Macaca fascicularis: one gene and its partners. The main gene of each other region encodes a partner of the protein of the gene in region 4 in a complex. Links are inferred from orthologs where the notes say so. Each region holds a gene or a part of one and is shown on either strand. Other genes may lie near its edges.

The links.
Region 1: MEFV (region 4) and ZBP1 share a complex: the UniProt entries of both Homo sapiens proteins name them as parts of the AIM2 PANoptosome complex. The link is inferred for Macaca fascicularis from reciprocal best matches to the Homo sapiens genes MEFV and ZBP1.
Region 2: MEFV (region 4) and RIPK3 share a complex: the UniProt entries of both Homo sapiens proteins name them as parts of the AIM2 PANoptosome complex. The link is inferred for Macaca fascicularis from reciprocal best matches to the Homo sapiens genes MEFV and RIPK3.
Region 3: MEFV (region 4) and AIM2 share a complex: the UniProt entries of both Homo sapiens proteins name them as parts of the AIM2 PANoptosome complex. The link is inferred for Macaca fascicularis from reciprocal best matches to the Homo sapiens genes MEFV and AIM2.

Annotation. Positions count from the first base shown.
Region 1 is NC_088384.1:113,677,457-113,685,026, forward strand, and holds part of ZBP1 (Z-DNA-binding protein 1), read right to left. Parts: intron 6,895-7,570; exon of another isoform or gene 6,744-6,894; intron 6,575-6,743; exon of another isoform or gene 6,406-6,574; intron 6,063-6,405; exon of another isoform or gene 5,927-6,062; intron 5,601-5,926; exon of another isoform or gene 4,713-5,600; coding exon 4,488-4,712; intron 3,828-4,487; coding exon 3,759-3,827; intron 3,305-3,758; coding exon 3,131-3,304; intron 1,593-3,130; coding exon 1,425-1,592; intron 984-1,424; coding exon of another isoform or gene 934-983; exon of another isoform or gene 822-933; intron 191-821; coding exon 1-190.
Region 2 is NC_088381.1:92,151,923-92,160,213, reverse strand, and holds RIPK3 (receptor-interacting serine/threonine-protein kinase 3), read left to right. Parts: upstream 1-3,721; 5' UTR 3,722-3,886; coding exon 3,887-3,906; intron 3,907-4,115; coding exon 4,116-4,256; intron 4,257-4,390; coding exon 4,391-4,700; intron 4,701-5,152; coding exon 5,153-5,298; intron 5,299-5,424; coding exon 5,425-5,471; exon of another isoform or gene 5,472-5,509; intron 5,510-5,678; coding exon 5,679-5,846; intron 5,847-5,956; coding exon 5,957-6,024; intron 6,025-6,239; coding exon 6,240-6,614; intron 6,615-6,754; coding exon 6,755-6,815; intron 6,816-7,329; coding exon 7,330-7,550; 3' UTR 7,551-7,700; downstream 7,701-8,291. Other genes in the region: ADCY4 (adenylate cyclase type 4), read left to right, coding at 8,287-8,291. UniProt on the Homo sapiens protein: Serine/threonine-protein kinase that activates necroptosis and apoptosis, two parallel forms of cell death. Necroptosis, a programmed cell death process in response to death-inducing TNF-alpha family members, is triggered by RIPK3 following activation by ZBP1.
Region 3 is NC_088375.1:102,021,011-102,028,024, reverse strand, and holds the end of AIM2 (interferon-inducible protein AIM2), read right to left. Parts: intron 6,829-7,014; coding exon 6,409-6,828; intron 5,970-6,408; exon of another isoform or gene 5,660-5,969; intron 5,218-5,659; exon of another isoform or gene 5,061-5,217; intron 4,361-5,060; exon of another isoform or gene 4,090-4,360; intron 4,081-4,089; coding exon 3,892-4,080; intron 3,123-3,891; coding exon 3,096-3,122; 3' UTR 2,888-3,095; downstream 1-2,887. UniProt on the Homo sapiens protein: Sensor component of the AIM2 inflammasome, which mediates inflammasome activation in response to the presence of double-stranded DNA (dsDNA) in the cytosol, leading to subsequent pyroptosis.
Region 4 is NC_088394.1:4,046,457-4,054,546, forward strand, and holds the start of MEFV (pyrin), read right to left. Parts: upstream 4,498-8,090; 5' UTR 4,438-4,497; coding exon 4,161-4,437; intron 2,661-4,160; coding exon 2,013-2,660; intron 1-2,012. UniProt on the Homo sapiens protein: Involved in the regulation of innate immunity and the inflammatory response in response to IFNG/IFN-gamma.

The DNA of each region.
Region 1 (7,570 bases), on a different chromosome or scaffold from region 4:
GGGGGGCTGTGGGCAGGGCCCTCGGACAGCACGCCGTGAAGCCTCATCTCATTGCTGTGTCCCAGCTGCACCCGTCTGAGCATGGACCGCTCCATGTGGATGTCCTGGGGCCCCCAGGGATCATTCAGGGTCCCCTGAGTTGAGGAATGACCTGGTGCCATTGAAGGGAGGTGGCGGGGACCAGTAGAACCTGGCAGGGGACAGTGGCACAGCCTCACCAGAGATTACTGCAGGCTTCTTCCCCCTCCTCACCACCACCCACAGTCCTGTCCTCTGAATTCTTCCTAGACACCATCAAACTGGGGGCCAAAGACTTCAGGCTCTGGCTTAGACAGCAAGAGTACCTGGCAGAATAGCTCATTTTGGGGCTCCCTGGGTTCTCAGGACTGGGGCTGGTGCCTGGATGTTGCAGGGACACTCACAAACCCAAACAATGAGCTCCTCGTTCTGATTCTGTCATTCCCGAGCCTTCTGATCTCATAGAGACAAAGTCTCCTTTGGTGCTAACACCAAAGGCTCAGAGCCTCCTGCAGTGTTTTAACTGCCAGGGACAATTTATTTTTATGGTGATTTTAATGGTTTTCATTTAAAATAATACTATAAAATTGTTTTAAAATAAAATTTTAAAAATGTGCACTACTCAACATTAATTAAATAATCAGACATGAGTATGGCCAGAATCGGGAATGTGGGGCTCAGAGGATTAAAGCTGGGGAAACTATGATCTAGATTCTAGAACAAAGTTCCTAGTTTCACAATTGGGGAAACTGAGGCTGACAGAGGGGAAAGGTTCTCCCAAGGTTACAGGGAGTGTCCCGACTTTGGGGCTGAAGCTGTCACTCACAGGTGACAAGGCTGGGCTGACAGGTGGCTCTGTTCCCTCTTGCCACAGTGCCCAGCACAGGGTAAGGGCTCAAAGTGCAACACCGCATTTCATCCAAACCAGGATGGCACAGGTGGTGAGATGCACCCCAGTTTCCAGCCTGTTAAAATGTGGGGGAAAGTTGCGTGTCTCAGAACAAATACTGTGCTATGATCACCTCCCCTGTGGCATTCCCCGGAGGGAGAGGAAATTGAGTCGTTTCTCATGAAAAACACCGGACCCCATTGAAAATGAGGCACAAGGTCAGGTGCAACACAGAGCTACCCCATCTTAATTTTAAAATTTTATTAAAAAATAAAAATAAAATTAAATTTTAAAATGACGTAGAAGGTATCAGAATACAGGGAAATCAGGAGAGCTTTGATCCGGGCGTCCTCATTCTCAGGACGGCCACAAAGGTGGACTGTGGGGATCTGGAAGCAACCCTTTCCCCTTGGAGGGCTGAATTCCCCCATTCCCCATCCCTACCCTTTGCCCCCACCCAGTGGATCAGGTGGCCTCCCACCGAGGTCCCCTCCCCGGGCTCTCTCGGGTAACTCACCATCCTCCCTGGAGGCTGTGTGTCTTGTAATGATGTTCCCGTGTCCAATCTGGATGGCTTCGGAGTTTGCAATGGAAATCCGGCCATTCGGTCCATTCTGGCAGATCATGTTGATTGGATTGTGCTGGTAAATAATTGAGGCCGACTCTGCTCTTCTTCCAGAACCTTCTGCAAAATAATATTCAACTCTATCCCTTCGCCCCTCTCTATGGGTCAGGGGTTCCCAATACCAGTGGGCAGCACCAAATTCTCCTGGGGAGCTTGTTAAAATACCCTGGGCGTTCCGAGTCAGTAGGGCCAAGTGGGAGGCCAGAGCTGAGTGTTTAACAGACACCCCAGGTACCTCAGAGGGAGCCTCGCTTGAAAATAGCCCTGTGAGTCACCCTACCTGTGTCCTTTGCTGCCCCCATGGCTGGGCCGCCATGATTGCTGGCTGGGAGGACTGCAGGGGCCCCACACTGCTCTCCCTGGGGGGCAGCCACAGCCCGGACCCCCGAGCACCTGCACCATTGCCCTTCTCCCTTGAGTAGTGGCCGAGAGACAGCAGCCCATTGGACAGATCAGTTGTGCTTCGCACCCATGACATTTTAGATATTTGAATTTGTCACTCGTGTTTAAAATCTGGTGACTGTCATGCATTATTCCTTCCTTATAGCAGCCCTAGGATGCTGAGACCCCCTCGGACACCCATCGTGAGTAGCAGAGTCGCCCTATGGCGGTCGAGGCAGGCACCTGCCCAGACTGTGTGGGGCCCATCACCACCCTCTGGGGTCTCGGCTCCTGTGCCTTTGTGGGCCCTTCCCCCATACACAAATATTTAAATTACATTGTATGTCAAGGATAACCCAGGCCGGATTTTTAAATTAAATTTAATTTAATTTAATTTTCTTTTGAGACAGAGTTTCACTTTTGTTGCCCAGGCTGGAGTGCAGTGGTGTGATCTCAGCTCACTGCAACCTCTGCCTCCCAGGTTCAAGCTATTCTCCTACCTCAGCCTCCCGAGTAGCTGGGATTACAGGCGCCGGCCACCAGGCCTGGCTAATTTTTGTATTTTTAGTAGAGACAGGGGGTTGCCATGTTGGCCAGGCTGACCTCAGGTGATCCGCCTGCCTCAGCCTCCCAAAGTGCTAGGATTACCGGCATGAGCGACCACGCCTGGTCCATTTTTAGATATTCATTATTATTATAGTATTCATTTCTTCTGATTTTAAATGAAATTAAAATTAAAACATTTTCAAGGACCCCTAAGAGTGCCATGGGCCTGTTGGATCTTGGCCCTGCGCCTATTAGATCTCACAGGGAAGACGACCCTGGGGCTCCACCCAGTAGGGGTCTGAGCCTAGTCTTGCCTTCTCTTCTGCCAACTTTAAAACCCCAACTTGGGCAAAGTGCTCAAAGAAAACTATTCCCAAACCCAGACTGATACCTGCACCTCAGAGCTGAGAACATTGGGAATGGGCCACCTCCATCCCATTCGCTGGCCTTCTGCAACTGCAGCCCTTGGGCCACGACTCCAGGAAGCTGTTCCTGGTTAATCCTGCCAGCACACCCCTTCCTCCTGGAAGCCCTTGCAGTGAACTGTCAGTGGGACCTCCAGAAGCTTCTGGCAGTTTCTGGTGAGCTTCTCAGCAGAGCACCCAGCAAAGACCAAGCGCTAGTGTCATGGTTTCCCTCTGCAGCCCAGGTGCAGGCAGCTGGGGGCCTACCTGGGCGGTAAATCGTCCACACTTTGGACTGCTCATCCACGTCCAGAAGGTGCCTGCTCTTCATCCTGTACAAGTCTGGGTTCACATCTTTTGCTGTCCTCATTCCCAGTGCCTGGGCGATGACCAGGGCCCTCTGGGGACCATTGTCTTTGAGAAACCTGTAGATGTCTTCCTCTGGGAGGCAGGACGGCCACGTGGTTAGAGAGGAGTCCTAGAATTTGCATCTGCCTCACCCACCGCTTTCTAGCTGTGTGGCCCTGGACCCAGCCCCTCGAGGCCTGGTTTCCTCATCTGTAAAATGGGCACCACGATAACGGGGTCATGATGACGCACCGCAGAGGTGCCCTGAGGATGGGGGATGTGCACGCAGTGCTCTGCCCTGGGCCTGGCACATGGTGGGTGCATGGTGAGGGTCAGCTATTGTCTGACTGGAGAAATCACTGCTCGACATTCAGATTCTCCCGCTGTCAGGGCTGGGTCTTGGCTCTGAACACTGTTTGGGAGCCACCTGGTGGGTGGGACAGGGCCCCTGAACACTGGTGAGATCTCGTACCCTCAAGGAGGGCCTGGGGTTCCTGAGGAGTGGGATCCTGTGTCCCGGGAGCTGAAGGGGCATGCAATGACTTACCCCGCTGTTGGCTGAACTGAGGGCTAGGGGTCTCTGGAACTGTAGCTACACATTGCTGGGGCCTCTCGGCTGGAGAAAGAAAGACGGGTCAGAGGGGTGGGGGACAGAAAACAGCACCAGGGCTCCACCCCACAAAGGTGGGCAGCACCCTAGGGTGAGCTGCAACGCCGGTAGTTGCAAACTCAGACTCCAGAGTTAAACACACTTGACATCAAGTCCTGCCTGTGCCCTGGCAGCTGCGGCTTCCTGCTGGTTTACTTCTCCGGGGCTCAACCTCCTTTGCCTCCTGGGGTTGTGTGAGGGCTGGGTGAACCCTGAAACAGTGCCCAGCTAATCTTAAGTGCATGACAAATGGCAGCTCTTTCTGGCTGTGGGCTGTAAAGCTAGAAAAGGGGGGCTGGTGGGACTGAGTGTGTTCTGTGATTAGGACCATCATGTCATTGCTGTTTCCATCATGATGATTTTCTGTTATAATTGTTAGTGTTCCGCTGAGTACTTTCTGTGTGCAGGGCTGGGCTGAGCCTGATGCAAGGCCTTCTCTCAGCAACCCCTACCAAGCAGCCCTGCTGTCAGCTCCATCAACCAGAAAAAGAAACCAAGGCACAGAGATGAAACCCGTGAGCTCCCAAGTGGCAGAACTCAGATTCGAACCCAGGCTCAAATCTATGCTTGTCCATTGCCAGGATGGTCCCTGCCTGGTCAGACCCACCTCCCCAGGGTGGCAGTTACCAGGGCTGGACAGGGCCAGCTCTGCAGGACCCTCGCCTCCAGGACCAGTCCCGCCCAAGCGCCAGGTGGCGGGGGCTGTGAGGGAGACTTTCAGCTCCTTTAGCATTCGGTAGAGGACTTGGTTGAGCTCCCTCTTGGGTGCTTGGCATTCCTTCACCAGCTGGGCAAGCTTCACTGGGGAGCCAGCCTCTGTCAGCACCTGCAGGATCCTCTGTTCAAGGTGGCCTGGGGGAGTGAGCGGGGGACAGAGATAGGGACTGAGTCTCCCGGGTCCCCACAGATGAGCCCAGGCTGGAGGCTCCAAGAGGCACGTGAGGCCCCTTTTTGAGAGGTGTCCAGGGCAGAGGAGAGGGCAAAGACCCCAGCAGATACCCCCTAAGAGCAGCAGAGCAGCTGCCCCTGCCCAGAGAGAGGCATGCAGGCTGATCAGAAATGGCCTGGCAGCCAGAGGAGGTGCCGCCTCGCCTGTGCCCTCCCCGGGTGTGGGTGCCAGGGGGCAGTGGGGTTCCTCAGCTCTCAGGTGTCCTCAGGGCAGAGAGGAGTAGAGGGCAGAAGGACGGAGCCAGAGGGAGGCAGGGGGACCTGGGAGCACAAAGGCAAGTCCTGCCTGGGTGTACCTGATGCCCATTGCCATCCTCCCTGGGAATCAATCGCCTCTTCTCAGCTCACCATCCTTCCATGGTGCCACTATCCATCGAAGCCAGAAACCGACCAGACATCAGAAACAGACCTTTCCCCCAGTGCCCAGTCGTGGAGCCCTGGAAATGCCATTCTTGGATTTTCTGGAATTGCCCCACTCCTCTCTTCTGCCGGCACCACCCGCTTCCTCACCACCATCTCCTGGGTGCAGCAATAGGCTCCCGGTTGGCCCACCAGCTCCAGTCGGGTACCCTCCAGATCTGGCTCTGCCGACCACCCAGCTTGACCTGCACCTGCTCCCAACTTCCCTCCAAGTGCTGGCCTGTTTGTGCTCCCTTTAGCCCCACTCACCCCAGCCCCTTTGCACACACTGTTCCGGCTGCCAGGAACACCCTTCCCCCACATCCCAACCTGTATGATGTCTACTCAACCTCCAGCCTCCTCACATGCCACTTCCTTGGGGAAGCCTGTCCCTGTGTTCCAGAGTGGCTGGGATCTGCTTGTGTGTGGGTCCCCTCGTGTCCCCTGCTGTACTTGCGTGGCTCACTGTTGTACCGTCAGCATGTAGCACAGTGCTGGGCACACAGGACGTGCTCAGGAAATGGCAGTTGAATGTATGAGTGACTGAGTGAATGAATGAATGAATGAATGGGACCAGGAGTGGTGGCTCACACTTGTAATCCTAGCATGTCAGGAGGCTGAGATTGGAGGACCCCTAGAGGCCAAGAGTTCTAGACCAGCCTGGGCAACATAGTGAGACCCCCATCTCTACAAAAACAGAAAAAAAATCAGGTAGGTATGATGGCACGTGCCTGTAGTTCCAGATGCTCAAGAGGCTGAAATGGGAGGATCGCTTGAGTCTAGGAGGTTGCAGCTGCAGTGAGCTATGAATGCACCGCTGTACTCCAGCCTGGGCAACAGAGCAAGACCCCATCTCTGGAAAAAAAAAAAAGGACTGAGTAAGTGAGTGTCTGTCTCTAGGGACAGACATTTACTCAGTAGACCCAGGCAGCTCCTCCTTGGCCAGTTGGCAGGTGCTGCTGTTTCCTGGCCTGAGTTTAATGAGCCCTAAGCAGGACCCCAAGAGATTCAAGGAGGAATTCTCCAAATGGCCCCTGCTCCTCCTGAGGCAGCTCTTAAAAATCAAAACCATTAGCTCAAACAATGATTAAAAAATCAAAGCCAGCCACTGCCCAGAGATGAGGCTGGGGCAGACACAGGGTACAGGCAGCACCTGCAGCCAGCAGCCTGGGAGAGCCACGGTGGGGGGGGGGCCCACCTGTCACCAGAAGGTTCTGCTTCAAGGAACCCGAGGGCAGTGCGTGGGAGAGCTCTTCTGGGAAAGACCCGAGTTCCCCTTCCAGGACAGTGACTCAGTCCTTGTCATCTGGGCTTTCTTCCTGTTCAGAGGATTCTCTAGGGTTGCCCAGGGATCTTCGGTCGCAGCACTTGTAGGGGAGGGAAAAATCAGTTTGTGCCTCGCCCTGATGGCTACAATGCTGACAGGCTACCGTGTGCAGGTGAAGAGAAATGAGAAGACCTGGGAATTCCCACTCCTGCGCCTACCAAACTCCCCCACCGGCAGCCAGCAGCATCCCCGTGCACCTGACTTCACACCTGGCTTCGCCTTGTCTCTCGGAGTTTTTTGTTGTTGAGACAGAGATTCACTCTTGTTGCCCAGTCTGCAGCTGCAGTGGCGCGATCTCGGCTCACCACAACCTCCACCTCCTGGGTTCAAGCAGTTCTCCTGCCTCAGCCTCTTAAGTAGCTGGGATTACAGACACGCACCGGGTTCAAGCAATTCTCCTGCCTCAGCCTCTCAAGTAGCTGGGATGACAGGCACGCACCACTACACCCGGCTAATTTTTGTATTTTTAGTAGAGACAGGGTTTCCCTTTGTTGGCCAGGCTGGTGTCGAACTCCTGACCTTAGGTGATCCCCCCAACTTGGCCCCCCAAAATGCTGGGATTACAGGCGTGAGCCACTGTGCCCGGCTGCAGAGTTTTGATTCTGGAAGGCTGACCCTAGGGAGCCACCACCTCTGCTCCACAGATCCAAGAGGAGATGGGGGTCAGAGGTGTGGATGCAGGACAAGCCCGGGTGCTGGGCTAGACTCGACCGCTAAGTCCCAGGCTCCTATGTCTGAAAATGGAAAATTGTAAAATGGAGCAGGTGTAGGCAGCAATTTGGTCACAAAAGGAAAATCAACTGGGGAGGAAGACAAGGAAAGCCAGCGAGGGCTGAGTCCGGAACCTCTGTCAGCACCTGTGAGTCCCCGAAGAGGAAGCACCACAGGAACTCGGTGGCCAGCGCGGCTCCTGGCCACACCCTGACATTAGCCCACCAGGGGCACAGTCTGGGTTGGTTTTTTAAAATTTTGATGGCTGATTTCCTGGGTTTGAGCTCCTAGCCCTGACAACTACTAGCTATGTGACCTCCCCCCG
Region 2 (8,291 bases), on a different chromosome or scaffold from region 4:
GCACATGCTTGTAATCCCAGCTACTAGGGAGGCTGAGGCAGGAGAATAGCTTAAACCTGGGAGGCAGAGGTTGCAGAGAGCCGAGATTGTGTCATTGCACTCCAGCCTGAGCAACAAGAGGCAAATTCCGTCTCAAAAAAAAAAAAAACAAAAACAAAAACAAAAAACAAAAACAACAACGACAAAAAAAATTAGTCCCAGCATTTTGGGAGGCCAAGGTGGGCGGTTCACCTGAGGTCACGAGTTCGAGACCAGCCTGGCCAACGTGGTGAAACCCCGTCTCTACTAAAAATACAAAAAAATTAGCTGGATGTGATGGCAGGCGCCTGTCATCTCAGCTACTCGGGAGGCTGAGACAGGAGATTGGCTTGAACCCGGGAGGCAGAGGTTGCAGAGAGCCGAGACTGCGCCGTTGCACTCCAGCCTGGGCAACAAGAGCGAAACTCCATCTCAAAAAAAAAAAAGAAAAGAAAAGAAAAGAAAAATTAGTGAGCCACTGTCTCTCATTTCTAAGGGTCTGACATGATGTTAATTAGTTTCATGGTTAAACTTACTGGGAAATTGCTGTTTCTTCCTGTGTCTCATGCGTTCATTCTGGGATAATTTTTTTTTTAATCTTCTTTGTGCACATCCATTAGAAACTTCTTTAGGAAAGTGACTGTTCGTAGTAAACTCAGTTTTCATTTATTTGAAAATGTCTTTTTTTCTTTTTTTACCTGTCTGTAAATATAAAATTGTATACACACCAAAGTTATCTTTTTCAGGAACACTTTTCCTGTCTTTGAGCACCTTAAATTATTTCAACGTCTTCTGGTTTTTACTTGGCTGTTGAGAAGTGTATTTCCAGTTTAGTTACTGCTGCTTTGTAGATGATCTATGCTTTCTTTTTAACCTTTAATGTTGTTTATTTGTGTTCACTGTTCTGCAGTTTCACTGAGGTATAACTAGAGTGAATTTCTTTATATTTATCCTTTTTGGCACAACTATATTTGTGTATATTTGACTTTTTATATTTGCTCATTTATTTATTTAGAAACAGGGTCTTGCTCTGTTGCCCAGACTGGAGTGCAATGGTGCAATCATAACTTACCATAACCTCCAACTCCTGAGCTCAAGCTCTAACCCTAACCCTAACCCTAACCCTAACCCTAACCCTAACCCTAACCCAGCTCAGCCTCCCAAGTAGCTAAGATTACCAGAACTGGCAACCTTTTATTTTAATTTTTATGTTGTAGAGATGGGGTCTCACTATGTTGCTCAAGCTGGTCTTGAACTCCTGTCCTCCAGTTATCCTCCCACCGTGGCCTCCCAAAGCACTGGAATTACAGGTGTCAGCCACTGTGCCCAGATGGATCCTTGTCTTTCATCAGTTATTGAAAATTGTCAGTCATTTTTTCCTTAAATATTGCCTTGCCCCATTTTTAATTTTTCGCTTCTCTTCTCATGGGATTCCAATTTAACATGTTAGACCTACTCATTCTTTGTCTCTTAACTTTTCTATTTGCTCATCTTTGCTGCATTCTGGAGAATGTCTGCAGATTCATCTTTCAGTACACTAATTCGTTCTTCAGCTATATCTTCTGTTTAACCAAAATCTACAATTTCAATTTTAATGGTTACATACATTTTTCATTTCTTGATGTTTTATTTTTTGTAAATATATCTGGACATTGTTTATGATCTCTAATGCCTTGCTCTTTTATTTCTCTACTCTATTTTTTATTTCTTTAAACATTTTACAATAGCTTCTTTAGTTTCTTTATCTGATTATTCCAAACTCTGAGTTTCCAAATTCCAAGAATCAACCTGTGCCTAGGTCCACCCCCACACCCCCTTGCTGGAAGCTGAGGGTCCTGTTAGGCACTTACTCTAAGGTTCTTCTCCCTGCTCTTCCTTCTTTTAAAGGGGCTGTTTATTTTGAGTCAAAAAGTTGTATAGGCCCTGATACCACACCCAACTTTGTGCTTCACAGTAGTTTATCCCTGATTCTCAGGGTCTCATACCAATCTGAAGAAACCCGGTTATAACACCTTTCCAACTCCTTTTTGCCTGCTTCCTTCAAGTGGAGATACTGAGCCTGGGTTATTCTCTCCAAAAAGAATCACAAAGGGAGTGGCTACCCCTTTTGATGGTTCTCAGCTTCTGACTCTAGGCTTTTCTGAGGACCTGCTACACTTCTTGCCTTCTTGGATTCTGTGTGATACCACCATATCTCTATACTAAAGCCTACTTCAGACGGATTTCATGAACTGTGCAGGTGAGAGCCCTCAGTCCCTATAGGAACCCGATCTCCTCTTTCCTCCTACTGAGTATGGAGCTCCATCTAGGATGATCAGTGCCTTAAAAGAGGCTTAATATTTTTGGTTGTTCATTTATTCATTCAATTCAACAAATATTTATTGGGTATCTGCCATGTATTGGCTTTTAAAGAGACTACAGTTGAACAATTCCCTAAATAGCTCCAAAATAGCATGAGCTGACCCTACCAGAAGCCATGGTGTAGCTCTCCAGGAGTTGTTCTAGAAAAAACTGCTGATCACTTCTGCCTCAACCAGAAGAGCCCATGGACCGCTGAACAAAATGGAAAGCAAGTACCAAGGTGAGCCCCTTTTAGTGAAAGCCAACACACAACCCACAGGGTTGAGTATCCCTGTGAAGGACTGAGTGCCTAGGGCTGGCCCTATCGGGTTCCCACAACCTCCAGTCATGGTCAGACCTCCAAAAGGTAAAATATGGACACCTTTTTTCTGCCCTAAATCTTTAAGACTCTCCATGCTTCTGGGTTATCAAAAGCCTGTGTCCAGAGCATGTGCTTGTCAGGAACATTAATTAGGGTATTTGCATGCAAGAATTGTCATGCAAGAGAGAGGGCAGGAAAGCTCTGAATTGTTTCCACTGCAGTGTACACCACAATGTCACCAACTCGCTGGATGGGCTGGTATATCTAGCCTTACCACAATGCCCTTGGAGTGGGTTTGGGGTCTGCCAGCTCAAGGAGCTCCTGTTCATAGGGCATATAAGTCCCTATGAACATATAAGTCCCAAGGAATACAAATAGGGATCCTTCACTACATCGTTGGATGCTTCACAACTTTCCCAGCCTCCTGCAGGACCAGCTGAGTGGTCCTGCAACCTATGTGAAAACAGGTGAAACCTATGTGAAAACAGCCCTGAAACCTATGATGTGAAAACAGGATAACTTGATGGTTCAGAGCCATTATTTCCATATGGGCTTAGGCAAGGTACTTAAACTCTCAGTGTCTCAGTTTCCTCATCTATAGAAAGGTAATAAAAGCAGTACCTATCCCCTTAGGGTTCGTGTGAGAATTAAATAAGCTAATCTATGTACCTGGTGCATGATAAGTTTTATATATGCATTGGCTATGATCTTAGGGCAGCTATGAGAGAGCTGAGCCCTAAAACCATAAAACCTGCCTAAGCACCATCTCCACTCATGGCCTGGCAGGTGGTGGAGCAGGAAATCCTGTGGGAAAAGAGAAGGCTTTGACTGTAGGAGTGGGTTGATTGTGGGTTCCTGGAAGGTGAGGACCCATTCCCTAACATCCTCAATGCCCAGCCACACCTAACCTGGCCGCTGCATGCGGCAGGCACTCAGGAAACGCTAGTCAGGGAGAAAGACACTAGCTTTCGCTTTGCCCCCTGCCCCACCCCAGGGGCGGGACTGTAGAGGCGCCTGTAAGGGAAGTTGTTCAGTCAACTCAGAATACGGGTAGCAACCCGGAAAGTGGAGTCACCGTCCTGGTCTAGAGACTGATCCCTGCAGAGACAGATCCCTTCCCCTCTCTGCCAAAGACCGCAGCCCCAGAAGTCATTCCATCTCCTACTGCTCGCAATTTCCAGAGGCCCCCTCGCACCTTCCAGCCTGATGTCGTGCGTCAAGTTATGGTGAGTAGGGAGAGGCATGTCGATCGCAGCCTCCGACATTCACACCCAGAGCGCCCCACGGACTCGCTCAGAGAACGCCTTTGAGTCTGGAGACGGTGGGGGCCGGCGAGAGAGGCCGGGGATTGCAGTAAGAGCGCCGAGTCACAGGGGCGCGGGGAGCAGCGCTGGCGTAGGGCACTGCCGGCTAGTGGGCGACACCCCTGTCTCAGGCCCAGTGGTGCCTCCGCCTCCTTGGTGTCCATCGAGGAACTGGAAAACCAGGAGTTCGTCGGCAGAGGCGGGTTCGGCACAGTGTTCCGGGCGCGATATAGGAAGTGGGGCTACGACGTGGCGGTCAAGATTGTAAACTCGTGAGTGACCCCTGTTGCCCCCCCGGCCGCAATCTGGCCAAAAAGGTGGAGCCACTGTGCTCTGGGGCCTGAATGGGGAATGGAGGGATTTTTCCCACGACCCCGGGTGACTCCAGCTCTCTCCTGGAGTGTAGGAAGGCGATATCCAGGGAGGTCAAGGCCATGGCAAGTCTGGATAACGAATTCGTGCTGCGCCTAGAAGGGGTCATCGAGAAGGTGAACTGGGACCACGTGCCCAAGCCGGCTCTGGTGACTAAATTCATGGAGAACGGCTCCCTGTCCCGGCTGCTGCAGCCCGAGTGCCCTAGGCCCTGGCCGCTGCTTTGCCGCCTGCTGAAAGAAGTGGTGCTTGGGATGTTTTACCTGCACAACCAGAACCCGGTGCTCCTGCACCGGGACCTCAAGCCATCCAATGTCCTGCTGGACCCAGAGCTGCACGTCAAGGTCAGCTGCTCTACACCCCTCTCAGCCTCAGGACAAGGTCCCACCCCAGAGCAGCTCCAGCCAGGCCCACTGGACACCAGACCTCCAGAGCCCTGTCTATTGAATAGGCGTAGCCTCTCCCTCTGGACACAGGGCTGCCAGGGCACAAAGCCCAGCCAGGAGTTTTAGCTCCTGCCATACCAGGTGATAGAGGCCCCGACCCACACGAGTCCTTTCCACCAGCTGCCCCACCAACCCCTCCAAAGAGTCATGGCTGACCCAGCCCTGGAGACTCACACCTTGACCCAGCCCTACCACAGGCACCTAGATCTACTATCCAAGGGAGCCTCTTCCCTTGACCTCCACACTCCCTTTACAAAGCTGAACCTGAACCTTCTGGGGGCAAGGGGGTTTCTGGAGGCTGCCTGGCCCCCTTGTCTTCCCTACCTCCCACTTCTTTCCTTCCTTTGCAGCTGGCAGATTTTGGCCTGTCCACATTTCAGGGAGGCTCACAGTCAGGGACAGCATCCAGGGAGCCAGGGGGCACCCTGGGCTACTTGGCCCCAGAACTGTTTGTTAATGTAAACCGGAAGGCCTCCACAGCCAGTGATGTCTACAGGTAAGGATCCCAGCCCAAACACACAGCCGGGATTCCTACACTTCTCTGGGCCCTCCCAGGGGGTGATGTATAGGAAAGGAGTCTTGCCAGTGATTGGACTGGTCCTCAGCTTTGTGTCTCCTGCAGCTTCGGGATCCTAATGTGGGCAGTGCTTGCTGGAAGAGAAGCTGAGTGTAAGACTCTAGGCGGATTCTGGGATCCTTAACCCCAGGTGCCCTTCTCTTGAAAGCCCCAAAGCTTCCCCTTCCTGCTCACCTACTAAGACTGCCCTCCTCCATCCTTGTGCTCCCACATTACACTCCCTGCCTCTTTCCATGATGGAGCAGATATTCCCTTTTACCCTGAATGCCTTCTCTTCTCACCCTCCTCCCCTACTCCAGTGCCAACAGAAGCATCACTGGTGTGTGGAGCAGTGTGCAGGAGGCAGACCCGGCCCTCATTGACTGAGCTGCCCCAAGCTGGGCCTGAGACTCCCGGCTTAGAAGGACTGAAGGAGCTAATGCAGCTCTGCTGGAGCAGTGAGCCCAAGGACAGACCCTCCTTCCAGGGTGAGCTGGCCAATTAGCTGGATCTGGGGTAAGCTTGGGTCTGTCAGCATGGGGCTTTCCTCAGGAAAAGAAGATTTGCTCACCTGCAACCCACTCTGCTGTCCCTCTAGAATGCCTACCAAAAACTGATGAAGCCTTCCAGATGGTGGAGAACAATATAAATGCTGCTGTCTCCACAGTGAGCGCCAACATCACCCCTCTCCAGGAGCTGGTCAGGGATGGCACAACATGGCTACCTGGCCATCCAATGACTCACCATTAACCACAGCTTTTTTATGCCTTGACCTTTGTCCTCACCCTCCCCAGCCCACCCCTGAGTTCCAAGAGACTACTCCCTTGGGTTTACTCTGGCTCATCCAAGTCATACCCAGCAAACTCCTCCCATCCCTGCAGGTAAAGAATTTCCTATCTGAGCTCAGGAGCAGCAATCCGAGATTTTCTACCCCCGAGTCAGGCCAAGGAGGGACAGAAATGGATGGCTTTAGGAGAACCACAGGAAACCAACACTCTCGTAATGATGTCATGGTTTCTGAGCTGCTAAACAAACTGAATCTAGAGGGGTCTCCCAGCTCTGTTCCTGAAAAATACCCGAGCCTTACCAAGAGGAGCAGGGCACAAGAGGAGCAGGTTCTGCAAGCCAGGACAGCAGGGACATCTTCAGATTCAGTGGCCCAACCTCCCCAGACTCCAGAGACCTCAACTTTCAGAAACCAGATGCCCAGCCCCACATCAACTGGAACACCAAGTCCTGGACCCCAGGGGAATCAGGTGAGACATTGGCAGGATTAGGGGATGCACTAAGAGTCCTATAAATGCTGTCCCCTTGCCAGGCAAAACTTGGGGCTGAGAGGAGTGCACTGGGCGGTCCAGGCTCCAGGACAGAACTGGATGCTCTGTGATGTTTGCAGGGCGCTGAGAGACATGGCATGAACTGGTCCTCCAGGACCCCGGAGCCAAATCCAGTAACAGGTACCCACTCTCCACCTCTTTCTTTTCCCTGTTCAATTCTTCCATGAGACTCCTCCTCCAGATCTATATCTAGATTCAGGGTACTTTCTGGAGGCGAGGGGAGAAGATCATCTAACTCAACCTCATTTCATAAATGGGAAAACTGACACCCCCTGAGAAAGGAGCCCTCTGAGGTCACACAACGAAGCTTGGATTTTTCCCTGAGTTTTCTAACTTTCCACAGCATCAGCTCTGTGAGCCCCCTAAGTTCCATTGTTTCAGCAGTCCAGAGGACTTCCCAGCAAAAAAGATCAGGGTCTCAAATGTCAATTGCTACTCTCTAGAGCTTCTGCTAAGCCAGTTCTGGAGAGGAACTCTGAAGGGAAGGGCACAGGACACACCTTAACACAGTCATTTGGGCGACCACTCCACTCAAGGCCAAGCTGGGGGTGGAGACCTCATACTCCCCACCCACCCCCAACTTGGCCTTTCTGACAGCTAAACCCTCCTGCCACCATCACTATTTCTCTTAAAGGGCGACCACTCATTAACTTACACAACTGTTCTGGGGTGCAAGTTGGAGACAACAACTATTTGACTATGCAACAGACAACTGCCTTGCCCACAGGGGGCCTGGCACCTTCGGGCACGGGGAGGGGCTGGCAGCACCCCCCACCAATAGGTTCGCAAGAAGGCCCTGAAGAACCTGAAAACTGGAGCGGGCCACATGGTTGGTATAATCATAGTGGAAAATAAAGCACCTTCAGAGCTTGCCTCCAAGAGTTACGAGTTAAGGAAGAGCGCCACCCCTTGAGGCCCCTGACTTCCTTCTAGGGCAGTCTGGCCTGCCCACAAACTGACTTTGTGATCTGTCCCCCAGGAGTCAATAAACATGATGGAATGCTAGCCAAAGTCTGAGCTCAGCCAGGGGCCGGGAGGGACTGGGATGGGGGTGGGAGCTGCCAGTGAGGGATAGGGAGGCACCACAACTCTGCTATGGCAGGAAGCGGGGATGCTGGGGGCTGGGAGTGGGCAACGGCCTGGCACACAAGGTCAGGGCACAGCCGGCTACAACAGGAAGGAATCCCAGAGGCCTGGTTCCCCAGACCACTCTAATCTCAGGGCAGTGCTTCCTTTAAAGCCTAGGATGGCGACCCCACCCTAACCCTAAACTCTGGGGATAGAGGCTGTGGTCCCTTTTCTTCTGGGCTCTCAACTCAGTTGCAGCGCTCTGGGAAGGGATGAGTGGGTGTGAAAGATCACAGACCAGGCCCCCCACGGTGCCCTCAGGTTCTTAGAGATCATGAGGTCCCATACCTGCCTCCACCACACACTCAGGTTGCTTCCTAGACATTGCTTCCCTTTTGATTCCCAGCTGCTCTTCGGGAGTGGAAAGCTATGGCTCCTAAAGCTATACACACGCGCACCCCCTCCCACGGAACAGTTCAAACCTGGTAGTAGTGGTTGCCAGCCAGGCGGAGAGACGAGGAGAATGAG
Region 3 (7,014 bases), on a different chromosome or scaffold from region 4:
TTGTATTCTCAGCTAGTCTAATATTTCATATGCATATCACTTGATGTAAGCTTTCTGTAATTGCCTATTCTTGAGTATGTGGATGATGGTGATTTGGAGTTAGTGTCATTTAAGAGGGCTACTACATCCCAGCCTTTGCTTGCTTTCCTTAACACCATGCTGATTCCCCTTCAAACTACTTTCTAAGGACAATCTATGTTTAAATGAAATAAGAAAAACATTACTCTCTGCCCAAAATAATTTGCCTCTTCAATTTTGTTTTCACTTAAATAGCTTCATCCTCTGATGCCTTGACTGCACTGTGTCATATTTTTCCACCTTACCACATACCAGAGCTTCTCCATGGGACTCAAATCAAGTAGATGAGAAGCTGGAGCTTCCCCTAGATCTGTAGTGTATAGACCAGAGAGGACAGAACAACTCATAGAGATGTTAATCTGTCCTCATAAACATTTTACAGACTAGTTTGTACCAAGTGGTTTTAAGGTATGCAATAGCGCTAAAGCTGACATTTTAGGTTAAATACCTGTATGTGGAATTACTGGGTCAAATAATATGAGCATAATTACTAATAATGTTGCCAAACTAATATTTCAATTAACACTTCTGAGGACATTTTCCTTAATCATATCATCATCACATTCACAAATCCTGGACATTATTAACCTAATGGATAAGGAATATTCATTGTTTTAAAGTCCCTGATTTCTGTGGGTCTCTTTAAAAAGTGTCATCTTTCTTATTTATTTTAAAAGCAATAGGTATTTCTTCCAGAGAAATAAAAAAAACAACAGAATATCAAAAACATCCATAATTCTATCTTCCAACTTGATGCATGTTTTCCATGTTTATCATGGCATAATCTACAAACAACCATACTTACTCTTATTAATGGAAATTTCTGTGAATTTTTACAAATGCATGTAGTCATGAAACTACCACAAAAGTTAAGATAGAGAATAGTTTCATCATGACAAAAATTTCCTTCCTGCTGCTTTGTTGCCAGCCTTCCTCTCAACTCCAAGCTCCTAGAAACCACTGATCTAGTCTTTACTATACTTTTGCCCTTTACGGAATATCATAAAATGAAATTAAAAATGTAAACTTTTGAGTCTGGCTTCTTTCACTTAGAGTAAAGATCTATCCATGTAGATGTGTGTGTCAGTAGTTACTCCTTTTTATTGCTGAGTACAATTCAATTATATGGATCTACAAAAGTTTGCTTATTCAATTTTCAGGTGAGGGATAATTGAGTTTTTTACATTTTTGCATAATTACAAATAAACTTTCATGAATATTTACATGCAGATTTTTGTGTGAACATACATAATTATTTCAAGCGGATAAAAAAACTTAGAGCAGGTTTGCTGTGTCATGTGGTAAGTGTATGTTTAAATTTATAAGAAATTTCCAAACTCTTTTCTAAAGTGACTGTAAGACTTTTCATTCCCACCAGCAATAAGTAAGAGTTTCAACGGCTCTGTATCCTCCTCAGACCTTAGCATTGTGGATACGTATTAAGTTTGTAAAAATGGACAAACTCTTTTGCATAAAGGTTATACCATTTGACATTTCCACCAGCAGTGCACGACAGTTTCAGTTTTTCCAAATCTTTGTCAGCACTTGGTATGGGTAATCTATTTTAATTTTAGCTGTTCTAATAAATGTATAATGGTATCTCACTGTAGTTTTAGTTTCCATTTCCTTAAAGATGAATTATGTTGAGTGTATTTTTATGTGCCCATTTTAAACATTTAATTGGTTGTTTTGCAATTATTGAATTTTGAGTGTTCTTTATAAATTCTGGATACAGGATCTTTTAGTTTTTTGAGACAGTCTTACTCTGTCACCCAAGCTGGAGTCCAGTGGTGTGATCTCAGCTCACTGCAACCTCTGCCTCCCGGGTTCAAGTGATTCTCCTGCTTCAGCCTCCCGAGTAGCTGCAATTACAGATGCCCACCACCACGCCTAGCTATTTTTTTTTTTTTTTTGGATTTTAGTAGAGACAAGGTTTCACCATGTTGGCCAGGCTGATCTCAAACTCCTGACCTCGGGTGATCCACACACCTCGGCCTCCCAAAGTGCTGGGATTACAGGCGTGAGCCACTGTGCCTGGCCTGGATACAGGGTCTTCAGCAGCTATGTGACTAACAAATATTAAGCCACAATCTATGGTTTGCCTTTCAATGCTCTTAATGGTACCTTTTGAAGAACAGAAGTTCTTCATTTTGATGAAGTTCAAATTATTAAGCATTTATGTTATGTAGATTGTGCTTCTGGTGTGATATCTAAAAAATCTTTAATCTTTCCCTAGACCAAGATCACACAGATTTTCTCCCATGTCTTCTAGAAGTTTTATGGTTTTGGATGTTTATGAAAAGCCAATGATCCATTTGGACTTTATTTTTGTATAAAGAGTGAGGAATGGCTCAGATTTGTTTTTTTAAGTACAGGTATCTAATTGTTCTTGTACTTTATTTTAGTCTTTTCTCCATTGAACTGTGTTTGTACTTTTGTAGAAAATCAATAGACTGTAAATTTACAAGCCTAGTTTTGGCTCTCTAGTTTTCCGTTAGGCTTTATGCTTATTCTTTCTCCAATAACACAAATTGTCTTATTATTTATATACCTTTTAAAATATTTCTAAATCATTGCCCTATGGGACAAAATATACATTTTTAATTATGCAGTATCTACTTTCAAATAATACTGCACTGCTTCACATGTTGTACAGGATCTTCTAACAGTATACTCCTAATTCTTCCCTCTTGTATTTTGTGCAATTGTTGTCATGTAGTTTACTTTTACATTTGTATAAACATATAATACATTGATAAAGTATTTTTGCTTGAGACAAGGGATTGACAAACTAAATGAGATACTGTAATGAATGAGAAACAGATGTTTATTGTGATCATCTGTTGATATTCTGAATTTGTTTATCCAGCAATTATCCTATCCTAATTTGGTGGAGAGAGGAGCCTGTGAACTGCTGCTCTCAGGTAACTTACAATCTGATTGAAGAAGATGTATCACGTATTCTTCAATTAAATGCTGCTTAGACCAGTTGGCTTGAATTGGTCCTTTTTATTTCTCTATGTTTTTTTACTGGCCTTAATAACCTGGATGGAGAAAAAAAAAAAACATGCAGTCTGAGATGCGGTCAATAAGTGGCCCCTCCTCTGTTTGCAGTCACTATGGCCTTCTAAAGTGTATATCACCTTCTGATAAAATTATTTTGTTCCCACCCTTCTAATACATTGGTTTGTCTTGGATCATACTCCCAAAGTGAATATCTGACCTGAGAAATACACTCCAACTTAGCAAGGTCATATATGCATATTTCTCAAGTCTTGGCCTCCACTCCTACAGAGACAGCAGGTAGTACAACCGACACTGAGACTTGGGGAAGAGCACCAACTAGTGGCAGGAGATGGGTAGGAGGGTGTGGTGGAAGGTCAAGAGTAGGGGTTTACATGGACTCAAGTGCCCTGGACTATGGTAGGTGCAGGCGTGGTGGGACTGGCTAGGGAAATGTGTCCTCAAAGTATCTATTGTGTGTCTACTTTCAAAGACATTACTCAGAATGACTTTTCCAACTCTGGGCAAGCTTTCTGCTTTAGACTTGTAGTGTTACTGAGGAGCTCTTTCTTGGGCTCTGTGTGCATAACAGTATGCGCCTCTGCCTTGGAAAGCCCATGTTCTCTTAACTGTGTATCTAGAATACGTGTTTCCTAAGAGGGAGGTTTCTCAGTTCTGGGAGATGGACGTGTATTAAATATCAATGTCTTCCATTCCATATCCTGTTCAATGGCTCCAGTCCAGCTTCCTGACAGAAAGCAAAACATATCACCCCCTTGGAGAGTTGACTTTGCTCCATGCAGTTCCCACCTTTATGGTGCTATGAACTCCAGATGTCAGCTGTGGTTTTTCTCCATTTTTTGACAGTGTGAAGAATGTAAGTCGAACCTTATCTCCTTCCTTACATTGCATGGTGTCCTCGTTTCTAACCGCCAATACTTCCATTTCCCCAGTCTTGTCACTTAGGTCAAATAATACATTTTTCTTCTTTTCTGTTACCTGTAAAAGAAAATCAACATCCAGCCTCTGATAATCTGATTAAGGAATGCCGCATCAGTCACACATCAGACATGCCAGAAGAAGGCTCTAAAAAGAAATACAGTTAATTCTTGAACAACACAGATTTTACCTGTGCAGGTCCATTTACATGGGAATTTTCCTCTGTCTCTGCCACCCCAAGACGGCAAGAGCAACCCTCCTCTTCCTCCTTCCTCCTCAGTCTACTTAACGTGAAGACAGTGATGAAGAACTTTGATGATCTACTGCCACTTAATGAATAGTCAGTATATTTTCTTTTTTGCGATTTTCTTAATAACATTTTTCTCTACCTCACTTTTTAAGAATATAGTATATAACATGTATAACACAAAAATGTGTTAAGTGACTGTTTATATTGTCTGTAAGGCTTCTGGTCAAGAGTAGGCTATTAAGTAGTTAAGTTTTGGGGGAATCAAAAATTATATGCAGATTTTCGACTGCTCGGGGTCAGCAGCCCTAATCCCTACATTGTTCAAGAGTCAACTTGAAGAAAAAGTTTCTGCTTTGAAACTAGCAGGTATATATCTAATAGATGTTAGCAAATTCACACAGAGGAGGCAGACATGTCTTACTTAGAATATGCTGTCTCCTATGCCCATCTTTCCAGTCCCAAACTCCCTTCCTTTAGGAGGAGGCCAGGGTGGCCCATAGAAGCAACAACTGCTGGATAGAGAGGATGGAGCTTCTCCAGGGCCAGTAGCCAGATTAGTCAGGGGAAAAAAGAAGACCCTGGGGTTGGAAGAGAGCTATTTTTTTTTTTTTTTTTTTTGAAACAGAGTTTCGCTCCTTCACCCAGGCTGGAGTGCGATGGTGCAATCTTGGCTCACTGCAACCTCCACCTCACTGGGTTCAAGCCATTCTCCTGCCTCAGCCTCCAGAGTAGCTGGGATTATATATAGGTCCCTACCAATACACCCGGCTAATTTTTGTATTTTTACTAGAGACAGGTTTTGCCACATTGGCCAGGATGATCTGGAACTCCTCAACTCTGGCGATCCACCTGCCTTGGCTTCCCAAAGTGCTAGGATTATAGGCATGAGCTGCCGTGCCCAGCCTGAAGACAGCTATTTAAAACAACAAGTCCAGGAGAGACATGAGGTAATGATGCAAGATCCAGCTGAGAGTCTAGTAAGTAATCAAAGACAAGAAATAATGCACAATCAAGTCTAGATCAAAAGGAAATAGGAGGTTGGTCAGTTATTTCGGAGATTGATTGTATTTTAGCTTTAATTTTGTGGACTAAATCAATATATGTTAGTGGCCAGATTAAAAGCTGAAAACTGGGACAAAGAACATGACCTTCCTATCCAAGGTCATTTTACACTTGAGTTTTCCAAGAGGACTGGAGAGTCTTCCTATCAATTCCTTCTAAAACTAACCCAAGGCAGCAGAGGTTATTCTGAGGCTCTGAATGCAGGGGCAGCAGGTTCCCTCTCTACGGTTCTTCAGGTCCTGCCCTAGACCAGAAAAAGTCATTCCACAAGGCTAGTTCCCTGAAGCTCAGAGTCATAATACTTTATTATTTCTCACTTCTAATAAGTCTCCTCGAGGAGTGCCTCTGCCCGGCCACCCCACCGTCTGAGAAGTGAAGAGGGCCTCTGCCCGGCCGCCCCACCGTCTGGGAAGTGAGGAGGGCCTCTGCCCGGCCGCCCCACCGTCTGGGAAGTGAGGAGGGCCTCTGCCCGGCCGCCCCACCGTCTGGAAAGAGAGGAGCGCCAGCCGCTGTGCAACCTTCCAAGTGTGAAGTGATAGCCTTGTATGTGATCTTTTCTGTCTTCCCCAAGTTTGCATTTTCGACATTAAAGTTTACTTTTAATTAAAAAGAAAGAAATAAATAAGTCTCCTCAAGCTAACTCTTTCTTCTGTTTTCTTCATTTAATCACAGTTCTTTAATCCTGACTTGCATATTGGTTTTTCAGGTCAATTAATTTGGTTGATTACTCAACTACACTTATTTTGCAATCACAACAATAGTCACTTAAAATAAAGATAATATGGACAAAGTACAAAAATAACGCAGAAATAAAAACTATGTGAACGAACTAATTCCTTTTTCAGAGGCTACTGGGATAAGAATAAGTTGAAACAGGATTGTGACATTTTTGACAATAAAAACAATTTTTGAGTTTTCGTATGAATTTTGGCATGTTAACTCTGCAGCTCTTTAGAACTTTGTATTTTTTTATTTTGTCTGTATAGACATTAACACCTTTTCTAAAGTCTCTTTAAGATCAGATGGAAAATACGTTATTCTTACTAATCAATATGAAATTAGCTATGAAAACTTACCTTCTGGACTACAAACAACCCATTCACAATTGTTCCAAGGGGCTGAGTTTGAAGCGTGTTGATCTTTGGGGTTTCACCAGCTTTTCTGATAATGTTCAGCGGGACATCAACCTTTTGGTCAGATTTAGCATCTAACACACATGAGGCGCTATTTACCTCTAAGAAACCACTGTGCTGATAATATCTTGATATTATAATCATTCTCTTTGGAATGAATTTATCTTTCAGCAGTGTATTAAAAACTTTTACAAAGAAGAATTCCTTCTCTGTAGCCACCGTAGCATGAAACATCTCTTGCTTGCCTTCTTGGGTCTCAAACGTGAAGGGCTTTGTTGCTTTCAGTACCATAACTGGCAAACAGTCTTTCCGAAACTCTTCTCTGATAGATTCCTGCTGGGCCACCCTCTGTTTCTGCTCAGGCTGAAGACAAGAGAAGAAAGATATCAGCTGTGAGTCAAAAAGGTACTATTGAGAGGACCTTCCTTCACCCACAGTGCTAAGCCTCAGGAAACCACAGAAGACAGGTGGAATCAAGGGAAGAGACACAGAGGGGATAAGAAGAGACTTGAGGCCTAGAATGATCTAGATGGAACAGAGAGTGCAGAA
Region 4 (8,090 bases):
TAAGGATGCTAGGTTTTCCAGATCCCAGGGTCCTTTCTCACCAGAAGACCCAGGGACTTCTGGATTTGAAGACTTATGCAGTATACCACGTCCTGTTCCCTCCCAGGTCTCAGGGGTCCCTGGACCCCCAGATCTTTTTTTTTTTTTTTTTTTAGACAGAGTTTTGCTTTTGTTGCCCAGGTTGGAGTGCAATGGCGTGATCTCGGCTCACTGCAATCTCTGCCTCCTGGGTTCAAGCAATTCTCCTGCCTCAGCCTCCTGAGTAGCTGGGATTACAGACACCTGCCCCCACGCCCGGAAATTTTAGAATTTTTAGTAGAGATGGGGTTTCAGCATGTTGGCAGGCTAGTCTTGAACTCCTGACCTCAGGTGATCTGCCCCCATTGGCCTCCCAAAGTGCTAGGATTACAGGCATGAGCCACCACATCCGGCCTGGACCCCCAGTTCTATTTTTCCTCTTTGAATGCTGTGATTTCTCCTCTCCAGCGAACAATGTATTAGAAAGTGTGTTCCATAGGCTGGGTGAAGTGGCTCACACCTATCACTTTTAGAGGCTAAGGCAGGTGGATTGCTTGAGCCCAGGAGTTCAAAACCAGCCTGGGCAACATAGCGAGTCCTCCTTTGTACAAAAAAAAAAAACAAAAACAAAAACAAAAAAACAAAACCAGTGTGGTGATGAGCACCTATAGTCCCAGCTACTCGGAAGGCTGAGGTGGGAGGATCGCTTGAGCCCAGGAGGTTGAGGGTGCAGTAAGCTGTGATCACATTACTGCACTCCAGCATGGGAGACAGACTGAGACTCTGTGTCAAAAAAAAAAAAAAAAAAAAAAAGAAGGTGTGTTTCTGAATGCTGCCCCCACCACAAGCATGGAATTGTCACCTGGACAACCTCAATCCCCTCTAAACTGATGGCATTTTTCTTTTACAGTTTTTCTCTGGTCTCTTTACCTATAGGGACAGCTGCTTTAAAAAATCCAGATGGCCTGGAGCTGCCTGATCCCTTGCCAAAAACCAGAGGAAGTTCAGAGCAAAACCAGTGCAAACTGGAACAGGTAACTTCCAGTTACCTTTAGATCATTTACACATCATTATAAGGCTAAAGGCCCCTCCCCTAAAAGAAGATGGCCAGGGTTTCATGTCCATGCGATGTAGGAAAAAGCACGCTGGGGACAGCGCCTTCATGTATGGAACCCTGCCCTGGACCTGCTTACCTACCTCCCTTCCCCTCCTGGGACTCTAAAATCCCCCTGCCTCCCATCCCTGGCAAGCAGATGCCTGCAGAGGCGAGCTCCCCTTCTCTATTCTTTGGCCACTGAATAAAACCTGACTGCCTTTTTCAATTGGACGTTCTTTCTTTCTTTTTTTACCCCCCCAAAATGTTTAAGAGACGGGGTCTTGCTGTGTTGCCCAGGCTGGAGTGCAGTGGCACAACCTCAGCTCACTGAGGCCTGGAACTCCCTGGCTCAAGCAATCATCCTGCCTCAGCTTCTCGAGTAGCTAGAATTACAGGCATGTGCCACCACACCCAGCTAATTTTTTTTTTTAGTTTTGTAGAAGTGGAATCTTGCTACGTTGCTCAGGCTGGAGTGTACTGGCATGATCTCAGCTCACTGTAGCCTGGAACTCCCCCTGCTCAAGTGAGCCCGAGCAGCTGGGACTACAGGCAAGTGCTACTATTGTATTTTTTGTAGAGATGGGGTCTCACTGTGTTGCCTAGGCTAGTATGGAACTCCTGGGGTCAAGAGATCCTCCCGTTCAGGCCTCTCAAAGCTCTGGGATTACAGGCGTGAGCTATGGCGCCCTGTCCAACCTTTGGGTTTTTATTTTTTTAATTTTATTTATAGACATGGCGGGGGTCTCACTATGTTCACCAGACTGGTCTCAAACTCTTGGCCTCAGCAATCCTCCAGCCCTGGCCTCCCAAAGTGCCGGGATTACAGGCATGAGCTATCGTGCCCGGCCAGCTGTTCTTTCTTTGCAGCCGATATAAAGTAGGAAAAAACACAATTTACCGGTGACCGAATGTTCTGGATTCCCAGGGCCTTTCTCCAGGTCCGCAGACGCCCCTCCATCCGGAGTGGGCCTTGCCTGAGCGCCTGTTGCCGAGTCCGGATTCGCAGCTGTCGTTTCCTCTACAGTCAGGAGAGTTTCTGGATTTGGGGGCGCCTTCTCCCCTGTGGAAATGGTGAACTCAAGGCTTTTAGGCCGCTTCTTTCCCGAGGGCAGGTACACTTCGAAGAGCCTGCACTCCTTCCGCCCCGGCGCGCCCCCCGCCAGCCCCTGCAGCCTCCCCGCGGAGCTGGCGTTCCTGCGCAGGAGGACCTCGGCCTGGCCTGGCTCTGGCGCCCTGCAGGGGCTGGGGCCGGGGCTTCTCCCGCCCGGCAGGGCCGGGCTCCGGGTTCGAGGCTTGCCCTGCACGTCCAGGCTCTCCGAGGCCTTCTCTCTGCGTTTGCTCAAGGGCTTCCTTGACAGCCCCCTCCCGGCCTCGGGCTGGCTGTACCGCAGGCTGGCAGCCCAGTCCCCGCACGACCGAGGGCCGTTCCCCTCCTTTCCCTCCTTCCCCTCGGGGTGGTCTGGAGTCTTCAGGCTCCCGGGCTTGTTCTCCTCCAGGGAGCTGGACGCTGCGGAATCGTCTGTGCCATTTTCTTGTGTGGAATATTCTGGAAAGACAACCAGCTACAAAGTCATGAAGCTGTCCCACGTTTAGGGCCCAAGATTCAGGGGAGAGGAGAGAGAATCCCCATGGATATTAAACTTTAGAAATGGAGGAAAAAACGGGCCGGGCACGGTGGCTCATACCTGTATTCCCAGCACTCTGGGAGGTTGAGGCGGGAGGATCACCTGAGGTCAGGAGTTCAAGACCAGCAGGGTGAAACCCTGTCTCTACTAAAAATACAAAAATAAGCTGAGCGTGGTGGCATATGCCTGTAATCCTAGCTTCTCGGGAGGCCAAGTTGGGAGGATCATTTGAGGTCAGGAGTTCGAGACCAGCCTGGCCAACATGGCAAAACCACGTTCCTACTAAAAACACGAAATTTAGCCAGACGTGGTGGTGTGCACCTGTAGTCCCAGCTACTCTGGAGGCTGAGGCATGAGAATCGCTTGAGCCTGGGATGTGGAGGTTGCAGTGAGCTGAGATTGCGCCACTGCTCTCCAGCCTGAGTGACAAAGCGAGACTCCATTTCAAAAACAAAAGTTCAGGACTTCCTAGACAATGGCAGTCAATTACCATTCAGTAAGAACATGCTTGATGTTGCTACATATTTATCTCTCTCTTATTTTATTTTTTGAGACCGGATCTTGTTTTGTGGCCCTGATGTGATCTCGGCTCACTGCAACCTCTGCCTCCCAGGCTCAAGCGATCCTCTCACATCAGCCTGTTTTCTGTTTTTTCAATAGCTGAGAATACAGATGTGTGCCACCACACCTGGCTCTTTTTTTTGTATTTTTGGTAGAGACAGGGTTTCACCATGTTGGCCAGGCTGGTCTCGAACTCCTGAGCTCTAGCAATCTACCCACTTTAGCCTCCCAGAGTGCTGAGATTATAAGTGTGAGCCACCATGTATTCCTCAAATAGTACTTTTCAAACGTTGTAAGCAGGACAACTGTTTCAAATAAGATCTTACACAGGTCAGCAAAACCCAGATTATACATTTCAAAAATAAAAATAAACCAGGCACGGTGGTCCATGCCTGAAATCCCAGCACTTTGGGAGGCTGAGGCAGGAGGATCACTTGAGGTCGGGAGTTTGACACCAGCCTGGCCAACATGGTGAACAGCACTGAAAAGATTCTATACCAGCCCCGTTCATACGATTGCATAGCAATCCCTTTTTGCTAACCTAGAGATGTTTGTCTGACATGAGTATTAATCATAAATGAAGTGAAGAAGTCTCAAAGAATAGGTGCTCCAGCTCCTGCCTTTCCTGACCCTGACCTGCTTCTTTAAAACCCACTGGGAGCCTTAAGGAAGTTTACTAACCCAGTGCCAAAAGCCAGAGTGAAGGAAGGGACGTTCCTGAACTAAAGTCACCTGGATCTTGGTAGACCTGAGACTCCCGACCCCCAAGTCAGAGTGAGCTGCTCTGAGCTCCTGGTCCCTTTTCCCACAAAGCAACCAGGCCTCAGTGCTGGGTGAGGAGGCAGCCTGGGCCCGCTTACCCTGAACGGCTGCCCTGTGGAGCTCCTCAGCCAGCAGGCGCTGGTTGATGGCCCGCAGGACCTGCAGGGTTAGCCGCACAGCGTACTCTTCCCCGTAGTAGGTGACCAGCAGACTGGCCATCTTCACTGGCCTGGCTCTCTGGATCTGGCTCCGGGGGATCCTGGAGTGCTCCTTCTCCACACTGGTGTTCTGCAGCTTGAACTTGAACTTCTCAAAGTCATAGGGCACCAGCTCCTCCAGGGTGGACAGCAGATGGTCACTAGGGGTCTTGGCCATGGCGCTGAGCAGGAGACGCTGGAGCTAGCTGTCTGGCTTCTGGCAGGAGAAGAAGCCTCTACCTTGGTGAGCAAGAAAAAGTAGGTTGTGAAATAGCGGAAAAGGCACAGGAAATGCTCTGTGTCTTGGTGGGAACTGAGACTAAGGGTAAGGGTGTGTCCATGCTGGCTGTGTTCTCTTCTCACAGGTTCAGAGGATTTTCCAGCTGGGAGGGCTCAGTGCCTTGGCAGACATCTGTCCCCACACCCCTCCCAAACCCTGGACCTCATCTCCACACTAGACCACAGACAGGTGGGCAAGTCTGCAAGGGAAGGTCTAGGATTGATTCCAGACAACCCCTCCAATCTCCCTTCCTGCCAGGATCTGGGGCTGGCAGAGCGGGTGAATGGGAACAGAGAGGACTATGCTGAGGGCCAGCCCTGCTGGTCAACTGTTCTCCTCCAGACTCAGGGTTTCACAGACCCTCCAGAGCCAATGGCATGGGATGGGGGAAGGGGTGGGCAGTAAATACAGCCCCGTGAGCTTTGCCTTTCCTGGCCCAAGAAGGCAAGTGAGGCCAGAAGGGCACTGCCGGGGGTAACTCTTGCCACGCCATCACCCCTGTTGATCCAGTTCCAGTTGTCTGGTTCTTCCAGCCACATGAAGGGCTTGAAAAGCAATGCCTCGACCACCAGCCTGACTCATCTGTTCCCAGAGCTGACTCAGTTCTCACTCCCTGGAGCCAGAATGCCCTTCCGTGCACATTCACTGAACATTCTAGACAGTGTGCCAGGATGCTGAAGCTACAGGGGTGAAAAGGCACGGGTGTCCTTCAGCTCATAGTCTGGTGCAGGGCCCCAGAGGTGGCTTTGAAGCTAACAGAAGTTACATGTCGGGGGCTGGACGTGGTGGCTCACGCCTGTAATCCCAGCACTTTGGGAGGCCAAGGTGAGTGGATCACCTCAGGTTGGGAGTTCAAGACCAGCCTGGCCAACATAGTAAAACCCCATCTCTACTAAAAATACAAAAATTAGCCAGGCATGGTGGCACGCGCCTGTATTCCCAGCTACTCGGGAGGCTGAGGCAGGAGAATCGCTTAAACGCGGGAGGCGGATGTTGCAGTGAGCCGAGATTGTGCCATTGTACTCCAGCCTGGGCGACAGAGCGGGACTTTGTCTCAAAAAAATAAAAAATTACTTGCATACCCTAATTTTTTAATTTTTTGTTTTTAGATAGGGTCTTGCTCAGTCACTCAGGCTGCAGTGCAGTGGCAGGATCTTGGCTCAATGCAACTTCTGCCTCCTGGGCTTGAGCAACCCTCCAACCTCAGCCTCCCAAGTCGCTCGGACTACAGCTGCATGCCACCACATCCGGCTAATTTTTGTATTTTTTTATAGAGACAGGGTCTCACTATGTTGCACAGGCTGGTCTTGAACTCCTGAGCTCAAGCGATCCACTCGCTTTGGCCTCCCAAAGTGCTGGGATTACAGGTGTGTAATCCCTGTAATCTGGCCACTGTGCCCGTCCAGAAGTTTTGTTAATAATGCAGTTTACCCTTCACCAGCACTTCCTCTGCACCAGCCACCACTTGCTTTATAAACACTACCTCCTAGAATCTCTAGGACTGTACCCTGCAGGACTGCATTTATCATCCTCCTCTGCAGCCAAGAATCTGTAGCTTAGTGACTTGCCCAGAGCCAGGATCCAAACATCAAACCACTTCACAACATCGTCTCCTGCATGACAATAATTTGTGATTTTACTTTTTATTATTCATGACTACCCATGGATGTCACATTTCCAGCTGACCACTGAGGTCCAGGATGGGTCACTTCCACAGGTCAGTCACAACATTGTGATGCCTAGCTGAACACTCATCTCTGGGTGTGAGTGCCTCTGTGTGTGCCCAGCCAGGGGTTCAAGGCTTTGATGAGTTCTGATTGGTTGAATTTTACTTACTATCCAGCTGGTCCACCTGTTTTCTGTTTCACAGAGTATTTGATGCTTTTGCTTTATTTTCATAGCTGACAACAAACATGCAGTTCACTAGATCTTTCTGAGCCCAACATCTTCTCTAAAAAGTGGGTGAATTGGGCTGGGTGTAGTGGCTCACACCTGCAATCCCAGCCCTTGGGAGGCTGAGACAGGAGGATTACTTAAGCCCAGGAGTTCGACATTAGCCTGGGCAACATAAGGAGACCCTGCCTTTACAAGAAATAGAAAAAATATTAGCTGGGTGTGGTGGCACACACTGGTGGTCCCTGCTACTCAGGAGGCTGAGGCAGGAAGATTGCTTGAGCCTAGGTTGAGACTGCAATGAGCTGTGATTGCACTGCTCTCTAGCCTGGGTGACAGAGCAAGACACCCTATCTCAAAAAAAAAAAAAAAAAAAAAAGAAAAGAAAAAAACCATGGGTGAAATGCACATTGATGGTGCAGACGACAGATTTTTGGAATTTTTAGGCTGAGCCAGAAGAAGGGTGTTGACTAGGGTATCACTGGGGCCAGCACCTGTCCCTGATTCTGGACAGTGGCAACCCAGCACCTCCCAGGCAGTCTCCCACTACCAGATGGAGAAAGGATGGGACTGTGCAGTGACGCTGTGGGTGCTGTGTGATCCCATCTTGACTGGTCAGAAAACTCCTCGGAACTGAGACCAAAACGCCATGACAGAATTGGGCAGGGAACGATACTTTCTGGTCTAAAGCAGGATATTTTGCAATTGTGGTGACACGTTTTGCAACAGAGGCTGTTCTGAGGCAGGACTTCTGGAAGGCAGTGTTTTGATGCCACTTTGGACTTTCTAGGGCAAGGCAGGCTCACAAAGCTTTTGTTTGGAGGGGTTCCGGTAATTTCTCAGAGTGAAAATAGAATTATTGCCCTTGTAATGTCATTCAAATGTTTAATAATCAAAGTGGAATGGTCATGGGCTCTCTTGTGTGCCCCTGCCATTGGATGTGTGACCTTATTTGGGGGGACATGGCAAATCTAAACCCTACGAAGCTGCTGCAAAGGGTCCACTCTCTGCTGTTATTCCTGGGAAATGTGTGGCTCGGACACCACGACCTTCACTCCAGTCCTGGTCACCTGGGGTTTCACTTTCTATGGCATTCTCTTCTGCACATTTTGGGATTTCAAAAAATGAAGATTGTATTACATTCGTAATGAGCAAAAAAGATAGCTTTAAAAAGTGTTTCAGGCCGGGTGCGGTGGCTCACGCCTGTAATTTCAACACTTTGGGAGGCCGAGGCGGGTGGATCACTTGAAGTCAGGAGTTTAAGACCAGCCTGGCCAACGTGGCAAAACCTCGTCTCTAATGAAAATACAAAACTTAGCCAGGCGAGGTGGCACGCACCTGTAATCCCAGGTACTCTGGAGGCTGAGGCAGGAGAATTGCTTGAACCCGGGAGGCGGAGGTTTCAGTGAGCCAAGGTTGCACCACTGAACTCCAGCCTAGGCAATAGAGCATGATTCTGTATTTAAAAAAAAAAAAAAAAAGTCTTTCAGAATTAGCTTAACTTCTAAGGGAGTATCAGTCCTGTGCCCCTAAACCATCATGATAAAGGAGGTATATAGTATGTATGCATTCATTTATTTATTTATTTTATTTTGAGACGGAGTCTCACTCTATCACCTGGGCTGGAGTACAGTGGCAAGATCACGGCTCACCGCAAC